2 linked regions of the Ovis aries genome follow. The protein of the gene in region 2 purifies or fractionates together with the protein of the main gene of each other region. This does not show direct contact. Links are inferred from orthologs where the notes say so. Each region holds a gene or a part of one and is shown on either strand. Other genes may lie near its edges.

Region 1 (6,195 bases), on a different chromosome or scaffold from region 2:
AGGAGAAGGTGAAGGTGTCCAGTTAACAGCCGCTCAGGAACTAATGATCCAGCAGTTGGTGGCGGCCCAGCTACAGTGCAATAAACGCTCCTTCTCCGACCAGCCCAAAGTCACGGTACGGCCCCTTCCACAGCTTCGAGGGACAATTCACCCAGTGTGCTCAAGTCGACAGGGCCACAGTCCAGGGCACAGGGAGAGAATGAGGCTCCAGAGAACAGGCACTTTGAGACGGGGTAGCCTTGGGCTCGCGGGAGACGTCCTGAGAGTAACCTGCTCGCCCCCCCACCCCCGTGTCCCCAGCCCTGGCCCTTGGGTGCAGACCCGCAGTCCCGTGATGCCCGCCAGCAGCGTTTCGCCCACTTCACGGAGCTGGCCATCATCTCCGTGCAGGAGATCGTGGACTTTGCCAAGCAGGTGCCTGGCTTCCTGCAGCTGGGTCGCGAAGACCAGATCGCCCTCCTGAAAGCCTCTACCATTGAGGTAACAGCCAGCCTGCCCAGCCTCGGGGAGGCCGTTCCATCCTGCCCTCGAGGAAGTCCCGAGATAAACCCCAGGAGAGATGTCGGGAGGATAGGGACAAAGCAGACTCTAGGCCTTTTCCCTGGTGGGGGTGGTATTCTCCAGGAGAACCTCAAATGCTAAATAAGTCATCAGAGCCTCTTGTGAGGTTAGGAGAGAAGGGAAACAGGGCCTGAGATGGAGAATAATTGAGGGTTGGGCTGGAGGGCCACACTTTAGGGAGCATGCTGACAAGGCTTGTTCAGGGAGTTGATGTTTGAACCAAAACTGTGGTAATGAGTAAGTGCTGAGTGTCTAGTGTATGCCAGGTCCTATTCCCAGTGCTGAGGGCGTGGTGGTGAATGGAGCAGACTGAGAGAAAGCTCTGCCCTGTGCCTCGTAAGCACTTGGGGGGAGTGTCCTGAGTGGAGAAGGCTGGGGGTGCCGAACCTGGGGAAGGGCGAGAGCTTGGAGTGTCCAGCGTGCTGGCTGCAGGCCCTGTGGCTGAGAGATGATGGGGTGGGGTGGAGACGGGCAGGGGATGATCCCAGCAAGATCGGGCCCCCCCATTCAGGCCAGCAGAGGGACAGTGGCCGAGGGGCCACAGGGCTCCTCTAGCCCCTGCCCACCCATCCCCTCCGCCATCCTCAGATCATGCTGCTGGAGACGGCCAGACGCTACAACCACGAGACTGAGTGCATCACTTTCCTAAAGGACTTCACCTACAGCAAGGATGACTTCCACCGCGCGGGTACGGCCAAGCGCAGGCTGGGCAGTGGGGTCCCTGCTGGCCAGGAGACCCGGGCCCTCACATCCTTGTCTGAGCTTCCATCTCTTCACCTCCAGACTAGGGTGAGGGCTGAGCCCTCCCACCTCACAGTGAGAGCTAAGACCACAGTGAGATTATTGAGCCCTGACCCTGCACAGGGGGGACATGGTGCAGGATGCGACAGAGGGGTATGTGCTGTCATATAGGACATCTTCGTAGGAATTAAGGAAAGACACTCTTTGCTCCCCAGCCCTGGTCTCATGTGAGGGAGGCTGGATCTCAGTCCATTGGGAAATACATAACCTCCCCAACTGTACAGGGCAAACCCGGTCCCTGCCCTCCAAGAGCACTTCCCTAGGGATGGGAACCGAGGCGATGGGCTTCTGGAGAGAGTATGGCTCAGTGGGACCAGAGGGAAAGGGAGGTGGGGAGCAGTGTTAGTTACCAGGGAACGCAAGTGCAGGGCCTCTCTCTCTGCTTCTGGGCGTTCTCAGAGAGTCCTGCTTTCTCCTGTCATTTCTCCGTGGGGCACTTCTCTGTCTTCCTGGACATCTTCTCCTCACCCCATCTTTCCTTCCTCTTATTTCCTGGCTCTCCCAATACCCAGGGCAGTCCCAGTAACCCTTTGAGTATAAGCTTGGCAGGGGAGCACTAGGGGTTGGGAGAGTGTTTCTGGCAGGGGCCTCAGCATGTGCAGAGGTCCTTGGGTGGGGAAGAGCGGGTGGTTTTAAGGAACGACAGGGAGGTTCCGGCAGCTGCAGCGCAGTGAGATGGGGCTGGAGCGGAGGTTCGTTCCTCCTACCGCCCCATCCTCCGCCACTGCCAGAGTCCAAGCCTCAGTTGGTCCTTCTGGGAACATTGCAGGGCCCCTTGCTGGGCTTCTGCCTCCACCCCAGCCTGGTGTGTTTGTTCACAGTCATCAGAAGGATCCAGTTAACAACCACGTTAGCTCACGTCCCTCCTGTGCTCAGCACCATCCGTGGCTCCCATCACACTGGGTGGGAGAAAAGCCAGAGTCCTCACCTGGCCCACAGGCCCTGCAGGGTGTGGCCTCGTTCCTCCCGCCCTCCCCTCCCCCTCCCCCAGCCGCGCTGGCCTCCCTGTTATTTGAACCCACCAATGTGCTGTCGCCTCACAGCTTCTGTTTGCTGGTCCCTCTTTCCAGAACTAGGTTGACCATCTCGTCCTAGTTTGCTTGGGGCCTTCCAAGCTTTTCTTACTTTTTAAAGATTTTTTTGTTTTTGGCTGCGCTGGGTCTTCGTTGCTTTGTGCGAGCTTTCTCTAGTTGCTGTGCGCGGGCTTCTCGTTGCCAGTGCGGGCCCTAGGCAGTTGGGCTCAGTTGCAGTGCGTGGGTTTAGTTGCCCTGCAGCATGTGGCATCTTCCTGGCCAGGGATGAAACCTGTGTCCCCTGCACTGGCATGTGGATTCTTAGCCACTCTGCAAGAAGCAAGTCTCCTGAGCTTTAATACTCAAAGTCCAGGGCCTAGGAAGCCTAGTCCCAGGCAAAACAGACTGGTAGCACCCTCCCTGGAACACTCGCACAGCCTGGTAACTCCCTCCCTCCCCTCTTTAGTCAGACACCCTGCAGCTAGGGAGGCCTTCCGACACTCACCTTGTGGTGACCCTCATGTCTAAAATATGGACGTGATTCTCTCCGTTACCTTCCCTTGCGTTACCTCAATCCATAGAACTAGAACCATCTCACAGGGTGGATGGCGTACTTGCAGACCTGTCTATTATCTGTCTCTTCAAGCCCCAGATGCAAGTGCCACGAGAGCAGGGGGCTTTGTCTTAGAATGTCTCTGCCTGGGACCTGATGCGCAGTGGGTGCTCAATCAAGTTTGATGAATGAATGAGTCACACCTGGAAATGAGTTCCGCTTCACTGTGAGAGCAGGGGATGCCACCTCAGGGGGTGATGTAAGGTGACCTGGGATTAAACACCTTTCCTTTTCCAGAGGAGAGGTACCAGGAAGGAAGCGAAGAGGGTGACGGGGTGGTAGAAACTTCTGAATAAATGTTCACACTTATTACTCATTGCTTCATTCAGGCAAGACATATGGCATACCCACGACGTGCCAAGCCCTTGATGGGCAGTGGGGTTACAGGGTGACCAGCACGCTCTACTTGCTGCTGGTTCCCTCGCTCTGCTGACAGTGGGCAATGCCAGTGGCAGGGCAATGCCAGTGGCCAGGCATGGGGGCCAGTTTTAGGTCAGAGTGTTTATCAGAGCCAGTCTCCTGTCTCCACAGGCCTGCAGGTGGAATTCATCAACCCCATCTTCGAGTTCTCACGGGCCATGAGGCGTCTGGGCCTGGATGACGCGGAGTACGCCCTGCTCATCGCCATCAACATCTTCTCAGCCGACCGGCCCAACGTGCAGGAGCCCAGCCGGGTCGAGGCCCTGCAGCAGCCCTACGTGGACGCGCTGTTGTCTTACACACGCATCAAGAGGCCACAGGTACCGGAGCCCGGACCCTCCCAAGGAAACCTAGACCTGTGTAGGGTCAGCTTCCTACGTCCCTGGCTCACCCCAGCAGCTGAGTTCTGATCAGTGTCCTCTCAGCAGCCTGTCCTCAAGGCCCCTGTCCCATCATTAAGGAGTCAGGCAAGTCCTTGCCCAGGGGCCCCCACACTGCCTCTCCAGGGTGGGGGTCCTCCGGGTGGGCCGCCTGGCACCCACCCACTCCTGTCTCCTTGCAGGACCAGCTGCGCTTCCCCCGCATGCTGATGAAGCTTGTGAGCCTGCGCACGCTCAGCTCCGTGCACTCGGAGCAGGTCTTCGCCCTGCGGCTTCAGGACAAGAAGCTGCCACCTTTGCTGTCTGAGATCTGGGACGTCCACGAATGAAGGGCCCACCCCACTGCCCTGCACATCCCCAATGACTGCACACTGGGGTGGGAAGGGACCGGGCTGGGTCTGGGCTCCCGCCCTGCGGCTCGGAGCTAAAGCCTTGGCCCCCCGCCAGCCCTCAGGATGAGCCCCAGTCGGCGTCCAGGAGCCTCCCTGCCTGCCCACTGAGTCTTCCTGGGAGGGCTGGAGGGGGTCACGGGTCCTGAGCTCTGACCTCTCCCAGCACTCCCAGCTGCCCTCCCCGCCCAGCTTACACCTCAAGCCTACCATGCAGTGCACCTTGAACAGAGGCAGGAGGGCCTGTGGCTCTCCCACAGCCTGAGAGACCACAGACAGGCTCCCTGCTCTGCTCCTTTTATTTAATAAAAACTAAAAAAAAAAAAAAAAAAACAGGAAAATAAAGTATGACTAGAAACTTGCTCTGATTCAGGATGAGTCTGAGGTGGGAATGGGCTGCCAGGGTCTTCATGGACACCAAACCCCCAGACCTGGTGTTGGACTAGGGTGGGTTCAGGGTGATAAGACTAGGCGCTTTGGGGGCCTCAGGGTCATCTGGTGGTTGGAGCCTGCTCCTGAAGGTCAGGGAGGATTTAAGTGGAGGAGGGCATGGAGCTTTCGTTCAATCAGCAAGTATTGGCTGAGGCTGCTTTGTCGGCCAGTCTCAGGACACAGGTGTTTTTCATTTGACAGATGCGTATGGAGCATTTGTGCTGTGCTGTGGTTAGTCGCTAACTCGTGTCCGACTCTGACCTCATGGACTGTAGCCCACCAGGCTCCTCTGTCCGTGGGGATTCTCCAGGCAGCAATACTGGAGTGGGTTGCCATGCCCTCCTCCAGGGGATCTTCCTAACCCAGGGATCGAACCCAGGTCTCCCGCATTGCAGGCGGATTCTTTACCATCTGAGCCACCAGGGAAGCCCCATGGAGCATTTACTATGTGCCAAATACATTCTTAGGCACTGGAAACATCTGTGAACACGATAAAGTCTCTGCAGCCACCGTGGAAAACAGTATGGCGGTTTCTCAAAACACGAAAACTAGAGGAATTCCTTGGCAGTCCAGTGGTTAGGACCCTGGGGGCCTAGGTTCAGTGCCTGGCTGCGGAACTAAGATTACACATGCCATTCGTTGGGGTCAAAAAAAAAGCTAAACTAGAACTCTGTCACAGGACTCAGCAATCCCACTCCTGGATATATACTGAAAAAACCCCAAACACTAAATTTGAAAGGATACACACACCTCAATATTCGTAGCAATATTATTTACAATTGCCAAGATAATGGAAGTGACCTAAGTGTTCATCTACAGATGAAGAAGGCGTCATACGTACATACAGAATGGGATACTATTCAGTCATGAAAGTGAAATTTTTGCTATCTGCAGCAACATGGTTGGACTTGAAGGGCATTGCTGCTGCTGCTGCTAAGTCACTTCAGTCGTATACGACTCTGGGCGACCCCATAGACAGCAGCCCACCAGGCTCCTCCGTCCCTGGGATTCTCCAGGCAAGAATACTCGAGTGGGTTGCCATCTCCTTCTCCAATGCATGCAGGCATGCTAAGTCGCTTCAGTCGTGTCCGACTGTATGACCCCATGGACAGCAGCCCACCAGGCTCATCTGTCCACAGGATTCTCCAGGCAAGAATACTAGAGTGGGTTGCCATTTCCTTCTCTATGGAGGGCATTATGCTAAGTGAAATAAGACAGAGAAAGACATATACTGTGCATCATTTACAAACGGAATCTAAATACAACTAACTAGTGACTATAACAGAAAAGAAGCTGATTGACAGACTGAACAAACTAGTGGTTACCAGTGGCGGGAGGGACAACAGGGGTGGAGGATTGGGAGGTAAAAACTATGGGTGTAAGGTAGGCTCAAGGATGTGTTGTACAACATGGACAATAATAGCCAATATTTTGTAATAATTGTAAATGGACCTTTACAAATTGTATTGGGGAGTTCCCTGGTGGTCTAGTAGTCGGACCTCTATGCTTTAACTGCCAGGAACTGAGTTCAATACCTGGTCAGGAAGTAAGATTTTGCAAGCTAGGCCACACAGCCAAAAATCAAA
Region 2 (5,601 bases):
TTACCTTCTTTGCATCATACTTCTCTCATTTGCAAAAACTGGCTAGAACAGTAGCTCCCTCACAGCAGTCTTATGAGTATTAAATTGAACCAAAGCATCATTTATAAGACATGTGCAGGTGCCTGGCACACAGTGCTCAAGAAATGAGAGTTAGGTCAATAGTAAAAGCTGTACTTTTAGCATCAGTAGCTTCTTCTTAGAGATAATTTGTTTGCCATAGGTCTAAAGCCCTAACCACTTTCCAAGGAGACCTGAGCCCTGCAGAAATTCCAGCACAAAGAGAGGAAAATGACTCGGTTAGAAATTTCTTTTTCCTGGATGAAGACAAAAGCAGTGTGGAAGTCCAGTGTACCTGGAAACACAGCCTCGATGTACCACGTCATCACTCCATAGAGAAAGGTGTCAAACAGCATCATGGACACAGAGGTGGTAAGGTTGAAGCCATCTTCCTTTGTGGGGCTCTCAAAGAGGTTGTCCCACTGTACCCCAATGCCCTGCTCCTCGAAAAGGGCAAAGTACTCACAGCCGAACCCAAAAGCCACAGGAGACATCAGGCTCTGTGCAAAAGAGGCAAAATTCATTCATCCATCTCCTTGTCTCTCATTTTCCTATCACTACTAATGTAAATGCCACCTGGAGAAATGTGAATTTGCAAAATGGATCAATTACAAGATATGGAAATATTCATCTACAGAGTCCCTTCAGGGGAGTGGGCTCCTTGACAGCATATAAAGTGATTCTATTTATAAGCACTCATTATGCACACACATTTCAGAAATGCATATATGATGGCATATAAAACTTTTAGAATTTTATGCTTCTAAAGATGCCTCAGGGGCTCAGCAACTGTACCTTATACACACACACACACACATACACACAGAGGCATTTTTCAGGGTCCTCTCAAGCTCCCAGCTCAGTCAGCAACGGGCCCAGTGTCACAGGAACCTGTCTGGGGCTGCTGATGCCTAATGGGTCTGGACAGAAACACTTGGAGCATCTTATAGAAAACTCAGAAAACAACTCGTTATTACTGGGACTTGCATACTTTCAAAGGTCTCTCCTCCTCTGTACAAGGGAAGGGAGTAAAGTCAGGGATTTGTGGGGAGATGGGGCACCTGTTCCTCAGTCTTGAAGTTTAGAAAACGTTACTCAAGTTAAACTCCATACTGGACACAAGGAAGATAAAGGTCCAGAACGAGCCAGCTCTGACCTCAAGAATTTTCAGTTTTATCTGTGACTGGGACTTTGTGGTGAGCTTAACACAGCAGCAGTAACATGGCCAACCAGAGCTGAGAGACAAAAGGCAGATAAAAGGGAATGCTCTAAAGTCATTCCCCAGGGCCATTTACCCCCAGATGGCCCATGGTGCAGCCTGGCTCCCTCAAAATTATCATTCGATTCAATTCAATCAGTGTTCACTCAGAGGACTAAAGATAAACTACTGAGTAAGACACAGTCCCTGCCTTCAAGAAGCATACAATCTAGAATTGAGGCTTAAGTCCCCATGGAAAGAGAATCTCTTATCTTCTGTTCTCAGCTTGGACTACAAAGCAGAGGTGAAACACCAGGGGTGGCTGTGACTGCAGGTACTGCCAAAGGGCCAGAGCAACTCACCATGAAGATCTTGAGGGTAAAGCCCACGTAGTCTTGCCACGCCACGCACAGGACATAGGGCAGGTATAGCATGAAGTAAATGATGCCCCCACAGGCGGCCGCCAGGTTGGCTCTGGAGAAGAGCGTGCTGATCAGGAAGCACTGCAGGATGGTCACCATGGCAAACACAGACAGAAAGACAAACACCACGCTGGGGTCGCTGTAGGGCAGCAGGTTTCCTAACTGGGAAGAAAGAGATCAAGGAAGACTCTCAATAAGCAATGATCCATGGGAAGCAGCCAGGGCTTATTCCTAGACATCTTAAAAGACAATATAGAGAAACAGTGCTGTTCATTTTTCTGGTGAGTGAAATGAAGGGAAATGACCAGCCCAAGACCACACAGCCAAAGAACAGCAGAATCAGAAACAGAACAAAGTCCAGGCTTGATATTTACCAAGGTTCATCTCAACAGACAATTCTGTTCATTGTTTCCCCAAGAATAATATCACCTTTTATAAGGACTATGAGCATCAAGAAAGAATTGCAGGAGATAGCATCCTACGTGGCCTCTCTGTCTGAAAGCCAAGGAAAATGGCCAGGCCATCTTAACATCCCCCGTGAGAATGTGCCATGGATTCTGGAGCCACATAACCATCCAAACTCTGTGGACCTGTCAAGTTTCTCCCAAGTAGTTGGTTCTGTTTCACAAGGACCTACCAACACACAATTGGCAGAGCAGCTCACACCCACCAGCCACAAGACCCCCATCCCAGCCACAGAGCTCAGGCCTGCCAGTCAGATATCAAAGCATGAGGGGAGCTTGATTTCCCCAAGAACAGCTCTGCCATACTGCTGGGTGACCTCAGTGAAGTCCTTAACCTTCCTTGGCCTCGTTTCCTTGTATGTTAAATGGGTTACTTAGTGAGGACGTCATAAGACAGCATACGCATGTGTTTCAAATAGTGTTCGGCAATCAGTACGTGCTCACTTGTAATGATTAGTAGCTAGTTTTTCAATTAATTGTTAGTTCCTTTTCCTTGGTACCCCTCTGCTTTTAAAAACATTTATTTTTAAAAGATGTATTCTTTAATGAAACAATTGAGAAAAAATTGGCACGTGAGTCTATTAAAGTAAGGGGTGGACACAGAACTTCACTGTACAGAGTCCCCTTCATGGAAAGGCTTGCGGACTGGCTGTCAGTGGACAGCCTCAGGCGGCAACTGATCTGGGTTTGTCCCAGCTGCAGAAAGCTGCCCAGCCCTGGGGCACATCTTTCCAGTTACTAATTGAGGGGCCTGGGACAATGGATTGTCAGAGAGGGAGGCCTCGGGGTAACCTAAAGGGCTGGACATTTCAACTCCATGGCCAGAGTGCCCAGGGGCTTAGCCATGTGCCACAGTTCAACTCCTGTCTGTGCTCAATCCTGCATCCTCTCTGTTCCTTGTTATAGGTATAGATCCCTAAGAAATAAACATACACCAAACTTTATCTCAGCCTCTGCTTCCAGAAAATCTTAACCTACAACAGTATCTATCCTTCTGATTATGGTTTTTAGAAATTTTGGCAGAATCATCAACCAATACATGCACCTAGGAAAATGAGTAACTCTCAGATACTGTCACAAGCCATTGCCAAACAGATGGCATGGTGTGGTTAAGCACATGCTCTAGGTTCAGTCCAGCTTAGCTACTAACCAACTGGGTTGACACTGGGCAAGTTGCTGTCCTTCTCAGGGTCTCTCCAAGTTTCATCAATTATAAAATGAAGGAATTGCAGGAACTGCACCTCTGACTCTATCCCTCCCAAACAATCTGTGCTTTCCTTCTGCCCCGTAGCCAGGGGGGGCACAGGGAGGAGCCAGTGAAGCAGCCTTACTTTCAGGATGACCACCAGTAGGCCGGCGCTCACAAGCAGAGGGATGAGGCTGCTGATGAACCAGCTGAACCAGAGGATACCGTTGTCCAGGCCCATGATGCGCATGGTCTCCTTCAGCCGCGCCTCCTTCTCGTACACAATGCCCTTGATGATCACAGCCACTGAGTAGATCCAGGCCAGCGTCATGAAGAGAGGCATGGACCGGCTCATGACCCGCAGGAAGCTGGAAGGGTAGGGGAGGGTTAAAGGCAAGAGTGAGCCAGGCTCCTGAGCCAACAACTCTGGTCCTGCATGCAAGGGAAATCACCAGGACCAAGCCCGAGATGGGCAGACCTGTGCACCCTGACAGGAATGCTTCATGAGCGTGGCAATGCAGTGATTAAAAACTATTAACAAGGTGATGCCAAAGTTCTTTGAGGGCTTGCTTTAGTAGCTAGATAACTATCAGAGGTCATTAAGCTAAATGTGATTTTAAAGTACTAAAACAAAACCAACAAAACCAAAAATCCAACTCATTGTCTCATGAAAGTTCAGTGTCTTCAAGGTCATCTCACTATCAGCTTGCCTTGCACAACTGTTATGACAGATGGTGCAGAAACACACTTCAGGCAGCTCCTGTCAGTAACATTTCAGATTTCAGATTCCAAACTAGAAAACGAAATGCAGCGAAGTCAAAGGGACACAGAATCTAGACTCTAAGACTCAAGGTTCAAGTCTCAGCTTTACAACTTATGCACTTACAGGGTATGTGACAGCAGGCATGTCCCCATCTTAATATGTCCTTTCTAGAGTAAAGCTTTGCTTAGGGGTGTCTTTGGAAAAATTTTCCTTTGGAAAATACTGGCTAATCTTTCTGAAGGTGAAAAACAAGATAAATCCAGGTGACCTGGAAAAACTAGAATGAACCCTGCAAGTAAAAGGGTGGCTCAATAAGAAGCTGGGAGAGATACAAGGAGAGTAACCCTGCTACTTCTGCAGTCTAATCACTACACACACACACACACACACACACACACACACACACACACACTCACTCACTCACTCACTCACTCTCACCCTCACACAACAGAGAATGAAAGAGTTTCCAGAATTTGGAAGAGACATGACATACTTCAGATGCCTGCAATAACTACACCTCTGCCCCATTCTTGCTCTCTCACAAGAAATCACGAGCCATAGAGCCACAGTCCCCACTTGGCAGCACAGTGACTAAGCACTAAAAGGTTACCTAGAAAGTCTAAGATAAAATGGACTTGTTCAGTTTTATTTGCATTGTTTGAAAATGTGGCTTACCACTTACTGAGAAGAAGAAGAAAAACTGATGTGAGGCTAGCTTTCCAAGGTCCGTAACACCGTGCCTCTGTATTTGGGGGACATGTGGATGTGTGGATGTATTTGGCATGTGCTCGTCATGATGCCTTTTAAACTTGGAGATTGGGCCAATTTTGACCAAAAGGATAGGGTATGAAAAATAAAAGTTCTAGTAACCGTAGACCAGAAAGGAGTGAGGATTACCGGTGTGTGGTGTGTGTTCATGTGTGTCTGTGCCTCAAACTGTCAACTACCTACATCTGGCATCTTATTTCCTGAAATCTCCACACAACTTCAAAAACAACTGCTTTGCAGTAGCCATAGTCTTGTTTTCATCAATTCTTTGACCAGTGTCAACACACATATAAAATAAATTTAACCAAAGCATTCTGTTTCCTCTCTTGGCATGTGTGTATGTGTGCACGTGTGTGTGTGTGCACACACCCCACCTGGGGACAGTGCTAACCAGTTAAGTAAAGGCGGCAGCTTACTGGTAACTTACATGTCATCAACATAACAGGGGTAAGGCATCTGCTGCATGTACACGCCAGTTTTCTTCTCTGTGCCCGTCAGCACCCTGATGATTGCCTGCTCCACCACATCCTGCAAGTAAGCGAAGCCTCCCCAAACATACCGCATATCTTCAAAGGGGTCAGCCCGAGGACCAGGGTCCCAGTACCTTAAATCAAGCCACAGATGATTGAACATTCCTTAGAACCACACAACAAAAATTTCAATCACCCACAAGCCTACAGAGCCACTGTTTTTATTTCTGCATCGTACTTTGTGGTCTCAGTGACACGTGCGTGCACACTAAA

What was found. Proteins that work in one complex are often made in the same cells at the same time.
Region 1: the proteins of ABCA1 (region 2) and NR1H2 purify together in Homo sapiens (affinity purification with western blotting; 3 studies listed by BioGRID and IntAct, with this or other methods). This does not show direct contact. The link is inferred for Ovis aries from reciprocal best matches to the Homo sapiens genes ABCA1 and NR1H2.

Annotation. Positions count from the first base shown.
Region 1 is NC_056067.1:56,280,020-56,286,214, forward strand, and holds the end of NR1H2 (oxysterols receptor LXR-beta), read left to right. Parts: coding exon 1-115; intron 116-300; coding exon 301-480; intron 481-1,149; coding exon 1,150-1,249; intron 1,250-3,519; coding exon 3,520-3,728; intron 3,729-3,970; coding exon 3,971-4,117; 3' UTR 4,118-4,538; downstream 4,539-6,195. UniProt on the Homo sapiens protein: Nuclear receptor that exhibits a ligand-dependent transcriptional activation activity. Binds preferentially to double-stranded oligonucleotide direct repeats having the consensus half-site sequence 5'-AGGTCA-3' and 4-nt spacing (DR-4).
Region 2 is NC_056055.1:18,188,047-18,193,647, reverse strand, and holds part of ABCA1 (phospholipid-transporting ATPase ABCA1), read right to left. Parts: intron 5,463-5,601; coding exon 5,286-5,462; intron 3,696-5,285; coding exon 3,473-3,695; intron 1,840-3,472; coding exon 1,618-1,839; intron 558-1,617; coding exon 353-557; intron 1-352. UniProt on the Homo sapiens protein: Catalyzes the translocation of specific phospholipids from the cytoplasmic to the extracellular/lumenal leaflet of membrane coupled to the hydrolysis of ATP.